2 linked regions of the Caenorhabditis elegans genome follow. The protein of the gene in region 2 interacts with the protein of the main gene of each other region in a pairwise test. Each region holds a gene or a part of one and is shown on either strand. Other genes may lie near its edges.

The links.
Region 1: the proteins of crt-1 (region 2) and ubc-1 interact in a two-hybrid assay, tested with the Caenorhabditis elegans proteins (2 studies listed by BioGRID).

Annotation. Positions count from the first base shown.
Region 1 is NC_003282.8:4,101,097-4,108,326, forward strand, and holds ubc-1 (Ubiquitin-conjugating enzyme E2 1), read left to right. Parts: upstream 1-1,923; 5' UTR 1,924-1,939; coding exon 1,940-1,990; intron 1,991-2,903; coding exon 2,904-3,293; intron 3,294-3,948; coding exon 3,949-4,086; 3' UTR 4,087-5,167; downstream 5,168-7,230. Other genes in the region: C35B1.2 (SWIM-type domain-containing protein), read left to right, coding at 1-12, 268-329, 764-911, 1,725-1,799. UniProt on the Caenorhabditis elegans protein: Catalyzes the covalent attachment of ubiquitin to other proteins.
Region 2 is NC_003283.11:6,096,590-6,103,436, forward strand, and holds crt-1 (Calreticulin), read right to left. Parts: upstream 3,954-6,847; 5' UTR 3,921-3,953; coding exon 3,600-3,920; intron 3,505-3,599; coding exon 2,881-3,504; intron 2,826-2,880; coding exon 2,583-2,825; 3' UTR 2,403-2,582; downstream 1-2,402. Other genes in the region: Y38A10A.7 (N-alpha-acetyltransferase 40), read left to right, coding at 1-106, 158-314; smut-1 (Synthetic MUTator), read left to right, coding at 516-648, 696-1,223, 1,271-1,776, 1,825-1,992, 2,075-2,302; Y38A10A.11 (DNA-directed DNA polymerase), read right to left, coding at 5,315-5,374, 5,418-5,523, 5,807-5,898. UniProt on the Caenorhabditis elegans protein: Molecular calcium-binding chaperone promoting folding, oligomeric assembly and quality control in the endoplasmic reticulum (ER) via the calreticulin/calnexin cycle.

The DNA.
Region 1 (7,230 bases), on a different chromosome or scaffold from region 2:
CATCCGACGTTTGTGAGTGGAGGAAATCTGGAAAATTTGCGAAATTTCGAAGGATAAGTAGAAAAAACACTGAAAAATTGACCCAAATTCTGCAATTTTCAAGATTTTCCATGAAAAAATGTCTTCAAATTGAGAAAATTTGTGTTTTTCCATAAAAAAAACCGCGAAATTTCAATTTTACATCAAAAATCGAAAAAATTATCCAAATTCTGCTCAGAAAAGCCAATTTTCGAAGCTTTTCCATCAAAAAACTGTAAAAATTTGCAGATTGAGCAACCGGATAGGCAGAAGCTTCCAGATGGTCAACGTGTTGGTGAAGAAGTTGAATTGTTAGTTTTTTTTTTTTTTTGAAAATTTGAATTTTCAGGAAAAATGTGGATTTTTTGAGGTTAAAATTCTGAAAATTAAAATTCCGAAAAAAAAACTTCGGAAAAGTTCAGAAAAATTAATTAAAAAGAAAAAAATCCGGAAAAAATGTCTAAAATTTTTGAAAAATGAATTTACACAAAAATCTGAAAAAAAAATCACTTTAAAGAAATTTTTAATGCCAAAAAGTTTCAGAAAAATATCAAAAATTAAAACAAAATCTGTAAATTATTTAAGAAGTAATGAGTTTTCCAAAAAATTAAGAAAATAGTTTTTTTTTCTGAAATATTTAAATTAATTTTTAGGGATTTTTCAAAAATCTCAAATTTTCTATAAAATCCATAAAAATTCCCAAAAACTTCTCTCTAAGAAATCTATCAATTTCAAAATTTTTCAGAGTTTCCGGAGATGTGATGTTCGACGATGATATTAGTCCAGAAATGCGAGAAATGGTTGAAAATATGGAAAGAAAAAAGAAAATTAATTCGGAAAGATTAATGGAATTACTACAAAGAATACATCGAATTGATCAAATTTGTAAAAAAGTACGGATTTTTTTAGTCGAAATTGATTTTTTTATAGCTGATAATTAAGTAAATCAGAATTTTTACCTTAAAATCGTGAAAAAAATTGAGCCTAAGTTGAATATTTTGTACTGAAAAATTGGAAAATTTCGGCTTTAAATTTGAATTTTTCTGAAAAATATTATAAAATTTGCATTTTTCCAGAAAAATTGGACTTTTTTACTCAAAATTTTGATTTTTTGAAAGTTTTCAGTTAATCATTTCGAATTTTCCGGAAAACCTAAAATTCCAGTTTAAACTCAAAATTTTCACCGAAAACTTCAAATTTTTCAAATTTACCAAAAAATTGACATTTTCAGTGAGAAAATTGAAATTCCAAAAAAAAAAAAAAGATAAAAATCAAAAATTCACCGAAAATTTGAATTTTACTGAGAATTTCACGTTTTTTTGTAAAATTTTAAATTTTTGGAAAATTGATTTTTTTTTAGAAATTTTTAAATTAAAATTTAGAAATTTCCACTAAAAAAATCAAATTTCATTAAAAATTCATTAAAATTTTTTTTTTCACTAAAAAAGTTCGATTTGAACCAAAATTTTCTAATTTTCAGTTAGAAAATCGAATTTCAATGAAAAATTCCAAAAAATTCAAATTTTCAAAGAAAAATTTGACATTTTTGGCAATTTTCCAGCATTTTCATTTAACATAAACTGAATTTTTTACGAAACATTTTCGAAAGTTTCCAATTTTTACGGAAATTATATTCCAAATTTGCACTAAAATACGAATTTTTTTGGGAAATTCCAATTTTCTACCTAATTTTTCGATTTTTGCAGGAAGCTTGGCTGGAATCGTCGGCAGAAGTTCAACAACTCACACAAATTGCTCAACTTTTGCATTATTGTCAATAAATGTTAAAAAATATTTTCTTTAATTTTTTGATTTTTTAAAGGTTGCCGTACCTTTTTTCATACTTGTTCTAGCATTTTTCTGCATTTTTTCGAATTTTTAACCTAATTTTCACATTTTTTGCAGGAGTTAGGTTATCAATATGACGACGCCCAGCCGTAGACGTTTGATGAGAGATTTTAAGAAACTTCAGGTGAGTTTTGAAATTTTTGGCCCGAAAATTTGGCTTTCTTTGAACATTAGAGAACATTTGCAACAAAAATTGGTTTTTTCCAGAAAAAATTAGATATTTTTGGGATTTTTGATAAATTTCTCGTGAAATTTTTAAAATTAAAATTGCCAAAAAATCGCCGAAAATATCCATAAAAACGGCCGAAAATGTCCAAAAAATCGCCGAAAATTTCCAAAAAAAAATCGCCGAGAATTTTCCAAAAAAATTGCCGAATTTTCCAAAAATTCGTCGAAATTCTCCGAAAAATCGCCTAAAATTTCAAAAATATCGCTTAAAATTACCAAAAAATCATCGAAAGTTTCCAAAAAACGGTCGAAAAGCACAAAAAAAATGCCCAAAATTTCCGAAAAATCGTCGAAAATATCCAAAAGATTGCTCAAAATTACCAAAAAAAAAAAAAAAATTACCAAAAAAAATCGTCGAAATTACTGAAAAATCGCTCAAAATTTCCAAAAAATCATCGAAAGTTCCCAAAAAATCGCCAAAATTATCAAAAAATCGCCTCCAAAAAAATTGCCGAATTTTCCAAAAATTCGTCGAAATTCTCCGAAAAATCGCCTAAAATTTCAAAAATATCGCTCAAAATTACCAAAAAATCATCGAAAGTTTCCAAAAAACGGCCGAAAAACACAAAAAAATTGCCCAAAATTTCCGAAAAATCGTCGAAAATTACCAAAAAATCGTCGAAATTACCAAAAAAAAAATCACTTAAAATTACCAAAAAACGGCTCAAAATCATTAAAAGATTGCTCAAAATTTCCAAAAAAAATCGCTCAAAATTCCTAAAAAACTGAAAATTTTCCAAAAGAAAGGTTTCTTTTAATTTCCAAAAAAAATCGCTCTAAATCCCCAAAAAAACGACCAAATCTTTCAGGAAGATCCACCAGCAGGAGTATCAGGTGCACCAACAGAAGATAATATTCTCACATGGGAAGCAATAATTTTTGGACCACAAGAAACCCCGTTTGAAGATGGAACATTCAAATTATCACTGGAATTTACTGAAGAATATCCAAATAAACCGCCAACCGTCAAATTTATTTCCAAAATGTTCCATCCAAATGTGTATGCGGACGGATCAATTTGTCTGGATATTCTACAGAATCGATGGTCTCCGACGTATGATGTTGCCGCAATTCTGACATCGATTCAGTCGTTGCTCGACGAGCCCAATCCAAATTCACCGGCCAACTCACTTGCCGCACAGCTTTATCAAGAAAATCGACGGGAATATGAGAAACGTGTTCAGCAGATTGTTGAGCAGGTACACAACCCTGAATTTTGGATGAAAATCGGCGAAATTAGAGCTCAAATATTGAAAATTTGGCAGTTTTTGACCCGAAATCGAGAAATTTCACCCCAAAAATTGAAATTTGGCTGAAAATCGATAACATTTAAGTTGAAATACGAAAATTCTTAAATTTTCATCTAATGTATGCAAAATTTGGCTTTTTGTGGTTCAAAATCGTAAAATTTTACCCTAAATGTGGAAATTTAGCTGAAAATCGATGAAAATTGAGTTAAAATTAAAAAATTTTGGAATTTTTATGCCAAAACTGAAATTTTGAGAAAAATTAAACGTTTGGCTGAAATTCGGCTGAAAATAGGCGAAATTTTTTGCGAAATATGAAAAATCTGAATTTTTATGCCAAAATTGAGATTTTTTTTGCGAAAAATTGCTGAATTTTGGCTGAAAATGGCTGACATTTCAAGCAAAAATAATTTTTTTTTTTTTGAATTTTGCAAAAAAGAACCGAAATTTGAGGCTAAAAATTAAAAATTAGAAATTTTTGGCTTAGGTTCAGGCTTAGGCTTGGGCTTAGTCATTGGCCTGGACTTAAGCTAGGCCTAGAAGCCTAGGCTTCGACGAAGCTGAAAAAACACAAAAAAAGTTCCAAAAATTCTATAATTTTTTCCAGTCCTGGCTCAATTTCGGCGAAAACGAGGGCGACGCAGTGCTCAAGGATGACGTGGAAATTGAAGAAATTGCTGCTCCAGGAGCAAATGATGCAGACGATGACCGTATGGATGAAGGAGCCAGTGGATCGAATGCTTAAATTTTCAGGAATTTTTCTGAAATTTTTCTACCCCCAAAAATCATCTGAAATCAAAAGCTTTTCCCATCATCCCCGTAAAAGAAATTTCGAAAAAAAATCAATTTTTTTTTTTTGAAATTTTTGAATTTCCCCCCACATTTTTCTCTCAACACAATCGATCCCTTTGAAAATTTTTTCTTCTCGTTTATTCATTTTTTTTGTATTTTTTCCGGAACACTTTAAGATACGGTAGTTTTTTTTTGTATATATTTATACACCCCAGTCATCTCTCTCTCTCTCTCTCTCTCTCTCTCTCTGTCTTTTGTTGTTTACATAGATGAGGATTTTTTCCCGGTGAAAATTGGCTGAAAATCGGAAATTTTTGACCTTAAAAACTGAAAAAATTGTGAAATTTCAAGAAAAAATCACGATTTTTGACTGAAAAACAGCTAAATTTTGCGGATTTTCGGCCTTTTTTAGTGAAAAATGGCTAAAAATTGATATTTTTAGACCCAAAATTTGTGAAAATCTGAAAATTTCGACCAAATAGCTGAAAAATTTGTGAATTTTCGAAAAAATCATTTGGCATTTTTTAAGTCAAATTTTCACTATGTTTTTGTATGAAAATTCTGAAATTTTGAATTTCGATATTCCAACAAAATTTTCAGAGTTTTTAAGTTTTTTTTTGCTGAAAATCGCCATTTTTATACTCGAAATTTAATTGTGAAAATCGGAAAATTTTAGCCAAAAAATTATAAAAGTTGGAATTCTAACTCAGCTAACTTTCAAATTTTTGTCTGAAAATTCAATGTTTTTTTTTCGTCAAAAATCACCAAAATATTGCTCCTTTTTTGGCTGGAAATTCGAATTTTTCACTTTTTCCCCCAATTTTCATCATTTGCAAAAAATCCTCTTTTTTTTTCGTTTTCCCACGTTTATTAATTGATTTTTTTCGGATTTTATTGATTGATTTCCAACCATAATTGTCTTTTTTTTCTTCAAATGGCACCTTTTTTCTCTCTGTCTCTATGTCTCTGTGTCTGTCCCATCCCAATTCGTCAATTTTTCGACGTAAAAATGAATAAAAAATTTTGATGGCAAACTTTTTTTTGGAAAAGTTGCATTTTTTCCAAAAAAATTTGAATTCTCACAAAATTTTGTGCTCCAAAATCCGAAATTTGGAGCTTACAAGCCTACACAGGGGTCCAGAGCTTTAAAAATTCAAAAATTCAAAGGTTTTTGATTTTGGATTACGGAAATAAGACGTAAATTTCTGTTTTCACCAACATAATGGGACAGTAGTCCCCATAATCTAGTGGGTACTTCAAAAAAAGGTCCAAAAACTCGAAAATTGTAAGTTTTTAACATTTCCAACAAGTTTTTCTTACCAAAAACTTAAAATAAAAATAGTCTGCAGCTAGCGGGAATCGAACCCGCGGCCTTCTGCACCCCAACCAACTCTCTTACCGACTGAGCCACCGCGACACTCATTTTTCGAAAGTTTCTCAAATTTTCCACAAAATAGTTCAATCGACGCAGAATTTCACGCTGATCATTTTTGTAGTTGACAACTTTTTCCAAGCTTTCACCGTTCAATAGTTATGAGGGTTTAAAGTTTAGTGTGAGAAAGGGGGAGACGCAGACAACGAGACAGTCTGGGTCTCTCTCTCTCTCGTAGGTTCAAACTTTGAAGGCGCTTAACTCTGAAACTAGATTAGCTATCAAAAAACTCCCAACTATAAAAGTATCTAATATTTTAAGCTGAACAGCTTTGCAGTTAGCAAGTTTTTGATAGCTCTAACGAATTTCGAGTTTTCCACCAAAACCCATGTTTTCCCCCGACTGCAAAAACGCGCGCGAGTACGAATTCATTACTCCGATATATTCTCATAGTCCAAGAAAAATATTTGCTCATTTGTTTTCCGACGTGTTCCATCTTAAGAAAATCACATTGTTCTCGTATACGAGAGCAGGAGGTCGAATACAAAAAATAAAACGAGCGGCCAGGGGGAGAGTGACAACAACACAACCGTCGTGTATTTAAGAGGTAATCTGAAATTTTTTCAGATGCTGGAAATTTAATTATGTGAAGTTTTTAGTTTTAGTTCTAGTGTTTTGTAAAATTTTTCCGCTTATAACTTCAAAACCAGCGGAGCTATCAAAAAGTTTCTCATTACAAAATTATTCAGCTAAACGTTCTACACATTTCTATAGTTAAAAATTTTCTGATAGCAAGCCTAGTTGCAGAGTTACACGCTTTCAAAGCTTGGGCTTACGAGAGAGATAGAGGCTGAGAGAGACGCAGACTGTCTCGTTGTCTGCGTCTCTCCCTTCTCTCAAGCCAAACTTTAAACCCTTATAACTATTTAACGGTGAAAGCTAGAAAAAAGTTGTCAATTGCAAAAATTTTCACCGTAAAATTCTGCGTCGATTGAAGCATTTTTTGAAAAATTTGAGACACGGTGGCGCAATCGGTAACAGGGTTATCTATGGCGCAAAAGGTCGCGGGTTCAACTCCCGGTAGGTGCAGAGATTTTTCATGTTCAGTTTCTGGTAAGAAAAACTCAATTTTTGAATTTTTACAACATTTTTGAAGTACCCACTAGATTATGGGGGCTACTGGACGATTGAGTGGCGGAAAAAAAGAAGTTTCAAGACTTATTTCCGTAATCCAGAATCAAAAAACAAATATTTTTTGTAGAAATGCAGAATTTTGAATTCTTAATCTCCGGATCCCACGCGGGGAGCTTGTAAGCTCCAAAATGTTGGATTTTAAAGTACAAAATGTAGGGAGAATTAATTTTTTTTTTTTTTGAAAAAATTGCAAAAAAAAATTATTTAAAACCTTCAGTTTTTCAAAACTATTTGAAATTCTATCTATGACGCAGAAGGCCGCGGGTTCGATTCCCGGTATCTGTAGAATATTTTTTAAATTTTAGTTTTTATTGAAAAAAAATAGACTTTTTGGAATTTTTTGAAGTACCCACTAGATTTATGGTTCTTTTCTAAAATTCCCTCGATATGTGATCTACAAATTTGAAGACTAAATTCATAGTTTCTCATGACTCCATTTGTACCTCGTAACTCCAAAATAAAATTCATATGACGCCCTGTTTATGTCCTCGGCTTGTAACATTCAAAAATCACACTTTCCTAGATTTTATA
Region 2 (6,847 bases):
ACAACATTCCTGTGGCATATTGTTGGGAACTTCAAATTGTACCGGCTTATCAGAACAAAGGAATCGGTGGCATGATGCTCGACACGCTGGAAAAGCTCTCTTCAAAGTACAGTTTCAATTAATTCGAGAGCCAATAAACAAAAACTCTTATTTTCAGGACAAACATGAGTAAAGTCATGGCAACAGTTTTTCTGTATAATGGACCGTCGCTCGGCTTCTTTCACAAACATGGATACAACAGCGACGTGACGTGCCCATCCGATGATTCTGGTCTGGATTATGCGATCCTGTCGAAAGAGACACCGAGCACATAAGAATATTAAATTCTGATTCTATGATTTTCTAATTTGTTATCATCTTCATTCTGGCTTAATTGTTACATGTATTTTTTTTTGGGTAAACAAACGTTTTTTATATTTCTACTTTTATAATATTGTGTCGTAAAAACCGTTACTTTTCGTTCAAATATTTATTTTCAAACCAAAATATAAACATTTTTGTAATAATCTTTGTAGATGCCTCATCCTTGGAACACTGCCGATGCATTAGACGATAGTCGGGTACAAGTTGAGCACATTGATTTAGTTCCTCCAAAGTATGCAAATGTACTCAACTTCAGATCTATTAAAACTAGAGATTATTATTTTGGTAAACCATGTTCTGGGCAATTAAATATTTCAATAACTTTTCTTCAGCAATGAGAGATCGTCATCAGCAGTTGGGCGCAGTCACATCTTCAAAAGCTGAAACTGACAAATTGAATAAACACTGTGAGGAGAACACGATAATGGTGGATCAAGACGGAGTAGAAACTCCAGCTGATTATGGAACAGAGAGGATGGTTGCACATGCAATAGAAGATCACCGACTTGCCGCCAATTTGCAACGAATAAAAGTTCATATTCTGAATGCAGTTCAACAAAAATCAATTCAAGCTATTCGTGACCGCCGAGGACTTCTAGTGGATGCTCCAACTGGAATCGGGAAGACTTATGCGTTTCTTATTCCGGCGATTGAAATTGCATTGAGGGAGCGACCATTGCTTACCAATATTTCAACCACGCCATCACCAACTATTCTTATTCTTGCAAATACCAACTCACTCGTTGAACAACTTTTTAATCGTTGTGAAGTTCTTCTTGGTTTGATAGATATGGAAGATATTATACCTATTCGAGATATTAAAATTGAAAAACTAGTTGCTAGCTATCAGTTCACAAAAGGTTCGTTACAGCATTCGTCTAACCAAAAAAAAACGAATTCTTTATAGATCAATGCGATATTGCGTTCTGTACGATGGGAAAGCTGAAAGCATCGATCGAGGATAAAACAATTCTTCTTGACAATTTGAAAATGATGATTTTGGATGAATCTGATAAAATGATTGACATTGCATGCTTCGGAAATGACATTGATTGGGTTTTAGACCAACTACAAGAGGATGTGCTCAGAAATCTTCAATCTTGTTTCTTTTCTGCGTCTCACAACAGAAACGAAGATGGTTCAATTGCATTAACTTCACGTCAATCAAGAATGTTAGGTGAAAATCCATGGTCACTGATCCATTGTCCGAGATTGCCTGGATATATCACTCAACGAGTTATTCGAATTGGTGGACAGCGAGTAAATGATATCCATTCGAATCCTTGGATCGTTAAGATGAATATTATTTGTAAATTGTTAGATGATGATCTCAAGGAAATGGGAAGCACAAAAGAAGGCCCATGGAAGCATACTATTGCAATTTTCTGTGAAACTGTCTCAAGAGTTATTCAGGTTTTACCCCTATTCTTTCGATTTTAAAAATATTGAGAACATTTTCAGGTAACTATGGCACTTCGTCAGATGGGATATAATTTCAAACCTGTATGCAGTAGTGTGTTGAAACAACAACAAGCAATCACTTTGAATGATTTGGAGTTTTGCAACATTCATGGAGTTGTATGTACCAATATTATGTCGAGAGGAATCGATGTGTCTTCTGTGAAACAGGTAAGTTTACATATATATTAAATTGATAAAAACATGGCTACTATTGACCCAAATATTTTTTATCTTAAGTCACATATTTCAGACAATAATCATGGAAATGTCCACCGATTTTCCGAGCTACATGCATAGAATCGGACGAGTTGGTCGCGATGGATGTGGTGGAAGAGCTACTGTCCTCATCGATGAGCATCATTTATTTGGCGGACCAATGTCGAATATTATCGAGCAGCTGTGTTCTTTTATGCTCGAATGCGAGGAAACGCTTCCCAATTGGCTTGTAGAATGGCTGAAGTTGCGTCAATCACTTTAATTGAATCACATATCAATTTCCTATTTTGTGCCGGTTTTTATCGCTTTTCTATGTATCTGATCCTGTATTTTATATTCATTGAACTAATCGAACTCGTAAATAGGTTTTAAAATTTTTTTATTATAAAACAAGAAAGGCTATCCAGCATCAAAATGGATGCTCAATAAATTAATAAAACAATCAATTAACCCGAGAGAATAGGAGAGACTTGAATGCGGGGGAATTGTGATGGAGTGGGGGCGATTGTATGAAGCGAGTTGAAAAGCTGTGCACGATTTGCTTAGAGCTCATCGTGTCCTTCCTCCTCTTCCTTCTCCTCCTCATCATCATCCTTCTTGGCCTCCTTCTCCTCCTCGGCCTTCTTGCGAGCCTCCTCCTCAGCCTTGCGGGTTTCTTCGTCGGCCTTCTCCTTCTTTTCCTTCTCAACAGTCTTCAATTTGTCAAAAGTCTCGGCAGCATGGGCCTCGGCCTCCTCAACAGAGTCGGTGATGATAATGTTGTCAAAGATCGTTCCTGACTTGACCTGAAAAAATAAAGTTTGAGTTTCATTTTTGAAAAATAGAATAAAAGTTTCTTACCTGCCACAAATCGAATCCGATGGCTCCCCAGCTTTCATAAGAGTAGAGTTCATCATCAGGAGTGTACTCTGGGTTCTCAATCTCTGGATGGATCCACTTGCCCTTGTAGGCTGGGTTCTTGATCTGCTTTGGCTTCCACTCACCCTTGTATTCTGGGTTGTCGATCATTGGTGGCTCCCATTCTCCGTCCATCTCGTCATCCCAGTCTTCTGGCTTCTTGGCATCTGGATCTGGGATGTGCTCTGGCTTCTCCCAATCTTCTGGCTTGGCATCCTCGGCATCATCGATGTACTCACGCTCATCCCAGTCCTCTGGCTTCTTTGCATCTGGATCCTTGATCTTCTTGGCTGGAAGAAGATCCCAGTCCTCCTCGAGGCTTCCAGTTTGGGCGCTTTCTCCGTCGATCTTGACTTCGTAGGTATTGTCGGAGTTGAGGATGAGAGTGTAGAGATGAGTGAGTTCGTCGCTCTTGCAGGTGATTTCCTTCTTGATGAGCTTGTTCTCTCCCTTGTAGTTAAGGATAACGTGGACACGGCGAGTTGGTCCGCAGATGTCTGGGCCGAACATGACGTTGTATGGGGTCTCTCCGTGGAAATCTCCCAAGTCAGCATCAGCTCTCATGACCTGGAAAATAAATATTGTTTTAATTGAGAAACATGTTTTGATACTAACAAACTAATGCGAAAAAATTATCACATCAAGAAATTTAAAATACTAACCTTAACGTATCCACCTCCACAGTCGATTCCTTGCTCGTGCTTGACGGTGTATTGGATCACAAGAGTCTTTCCTTTGTTGGAGAAGTCCTTGTCGAACTTGGCGGCACGGGAGTAGAACTTGGCATCTTGGCTGGTCTGGATTCCTTGGTCGCGGGACTCAACATCGAAGAACTTTCCAGCTGAGAGCTTGAAGGCTCCAAAGTCATCCTTGTGCTTGGATTGAACCCATCGCTTCTCCCATGAGGCGTCGTTGAACTCCTCTTTGAAGTAGACTTCAGCCGAAACGACGGCAACGATTGCTAACAGGCAGAGTGATTTCATTTCGTTTTTCGATAAAACGACACCAAGTTGAATCTGAAATTAAAAAGTAAATATAACAATTAAACATATGAATCGGAAAAAGAAGAGATAAATTGAATGAGAATATACCAAAGAATAAAATTCGAGAATTTCAGAGAAGAAAGACTAGAAATGAAACCGAACAAGAGCAAAACTGAAACTGATGATGTTGAACTGAGCTCGTCTGCTACGACAATGGAGTAAGTCGACGTGTGTCTTGCGTGGCTGACACGGCTCGAGGTGCCGCGTATCTATTGGTCCACGTCAGCGACTGGCCAATCGGCGGTCGCCACACATTGAGAATAGGCGGAGCGTGTCTGATGAGAGGCCACGTTGCGTGTCGGCCTCGCACTGCGAAGAGAGCGAGAGAGTGAGTGAGTTGAAGAGATGCAGACGGAGAGCATTTTGGGATAAGGAAATAATGCCCTTGCGGGTGGACAGCAGTCCAGCAGAGGGCTTTTTGATATTATCGCAATTGGGAATCTGATTGAAAAGAACAGAAACAGCTGAGATCAGTATTCTTTAAGGGGTTTAGAACTTTCCATGCTTATTTTGCACTAAATTTCTAGACTTTCGGATTTAAAAATTGGATCACACAGCCAGAATGTAGTAGAATGTATTTATCAACCAATTTCTGAATGAAACCAACGATAAAAACACATTATCGCGTTTATGTGGACATGACGAATCGAAAAATCGCCCTTGACACAGTTATCCATTTTTTGCTTCGTTTTGCAAAACCAGTTTCACAAAAGACGCATGACAAAAATGATGAACCATCGGAAAAAGATGGAAACTACATTTTAAACGACCGTTTGTGTAAATAAAACAATGAAAATGGCGAAAATGAGAGACAAGAAGACTGAAAAAGGCTGAAACGGATGAATAAAATTTGAATGGCGCTTTGGCGCCATCGTTTGGTGTTTGCGTAAATTGCGTACTCTGGAGAAAATTGTGGTTGACCGTATCACTCGTGAGCCAAAGCTGAAATTTGAGCATAATTGAATAAATGCACATATTTTTCAAAGTGGTGATATTTTTCTGGTGTTTCCTGGATTGTTTCTGAAATATCATTTCCAGATTCGAAATTAGTACTGCTCATTATAAAAGTGGTGCTTCAATTCTCTTATCAAGTCCTGGTGGACTCCAGGAGTACAGCACTCGTTATCATCTAAATTATAAAATTGATAAATTCTATATGAAAACATAGTATGAAGAATAATGTGAATATTTTATTAGCTGGCCAGTACAAACGAGTTCCTCTTTACCAAAAGGTACATTGTAAACAATTCGGCATTGAGAACAAACAATAAGTGCATTTTCAAATATTTATTCGGTCCTGGTCAAGAGAAAGATCGGCGACGAGAAGTACCTCGTTAGCCACGCGTCATTTCCACAATTTTTTCACATTCGCATGCTACTCGGGCTCGGTTCACCTGAACATCTAGAATTATAATTTTTTCAGGAATATTTTTAGACCTCTGAACTCCAGGAAACTGCATTTCGAACAAAAAGTCTGACACGATCACAAGTTGACGTAATATAAGGAAAGGTGTAGAGCATTGCAAAATGATTTCGATCTTGCCTGAAATTTATCACGAAATGATATTGTAATTTACCGTACTCCTTACTATAGCTTTAAATTATTCAAATGCCTACCTGCCTGCCTGGAAGCAAAACTTCAAGAGACCTACGTCTACTGTTAAGTTCAATGCAAGCCACACCTGCCTTCTAGGCACATAGGTAGGCACTTATCAATATTGAGGTAGTCCTACTTCTCACAGTGTCTACAGTATGACATCGGCAAGAAATCGGTTTTTGATTATTTAAAAAATCTAACTAAATCCAAAAAATAAAATGAAACTTACACTGGTTTCTTGGTAATTTCTGGGCAAAACTCGTTGGTTGAGATTCCTGAATACTTTTGAAGCCTACTCAACTCGTAGTCCATATGCTTCATGTTTCTCTCAATAGTTGCATTGTTCCACACAAATACAGTTTCGATTTTGATCTCCCCGCCTGCACATTTTCCTTTTGTGATTCTAAACATATATATATTTCCAGATTCTGGCTATTAGATTCACTCACACGTTATCTCTTTGCACAGGGGGTGGTGGCGGGACTAAAGCAGCGAACAAAGGGAAATTGGATAGAATTGGAGCAAAATCATTAAACAATGGAGAACTTGGAATACTTGAGAATATCTTGACTGAATGACAACAAGTAATCTAGAATAATTCATTGTTTATTTGAAGGTGAAATATCGTAAATGGAGAGATTATTTAAAATTGCCCATTCACAAGGGAAATCTTTGAAGGGGCCCGTAGGTTTGGGGTTCTCATGTTGAATATCCGATAGAAGACTGTTAGTTATGATCTCTCCGAAAAATTTAGCTGCCCAAGTCAAGTTTCAGCAAAGTTATGACGTTTTGAAATTTCAGCTTTGAACACGTTAGTGCTTAAATGTCCAAATAAAATAGTAAAACGTTTCAAAACATTTTTGAAATTTTTTATTTGCAATTAATTTTTTATGGTGAAAAATTAGTCATAATAATTTTAGTTATAATAAAACCTATAAAAATTTTGAAAGTAGACCTAAAACAATTTTCTACAATTTTTATATTTTCAACTGTTTGTATTCAAACATTCTGACAGTTCCTGTGGCAATGCTGGAAATAGCTCAAAAAGTCCAAATGTTGGCAATTTGCCAAAACTAACTTAAAATTTTGGAGTATTTTATTAGAATACTTTTCAAACTAAATCCACACTGGCAATACTCCGTAGAAGGCATTGGCTTGAAGATTAGGCAGATCTATAATTAACCCACAATTTATTGAAACCATGAACCTACTTGATTAATATGAAAAGCTAAAATCAGGAAATACAGTTGAAAAATGATAAGGAAATGCA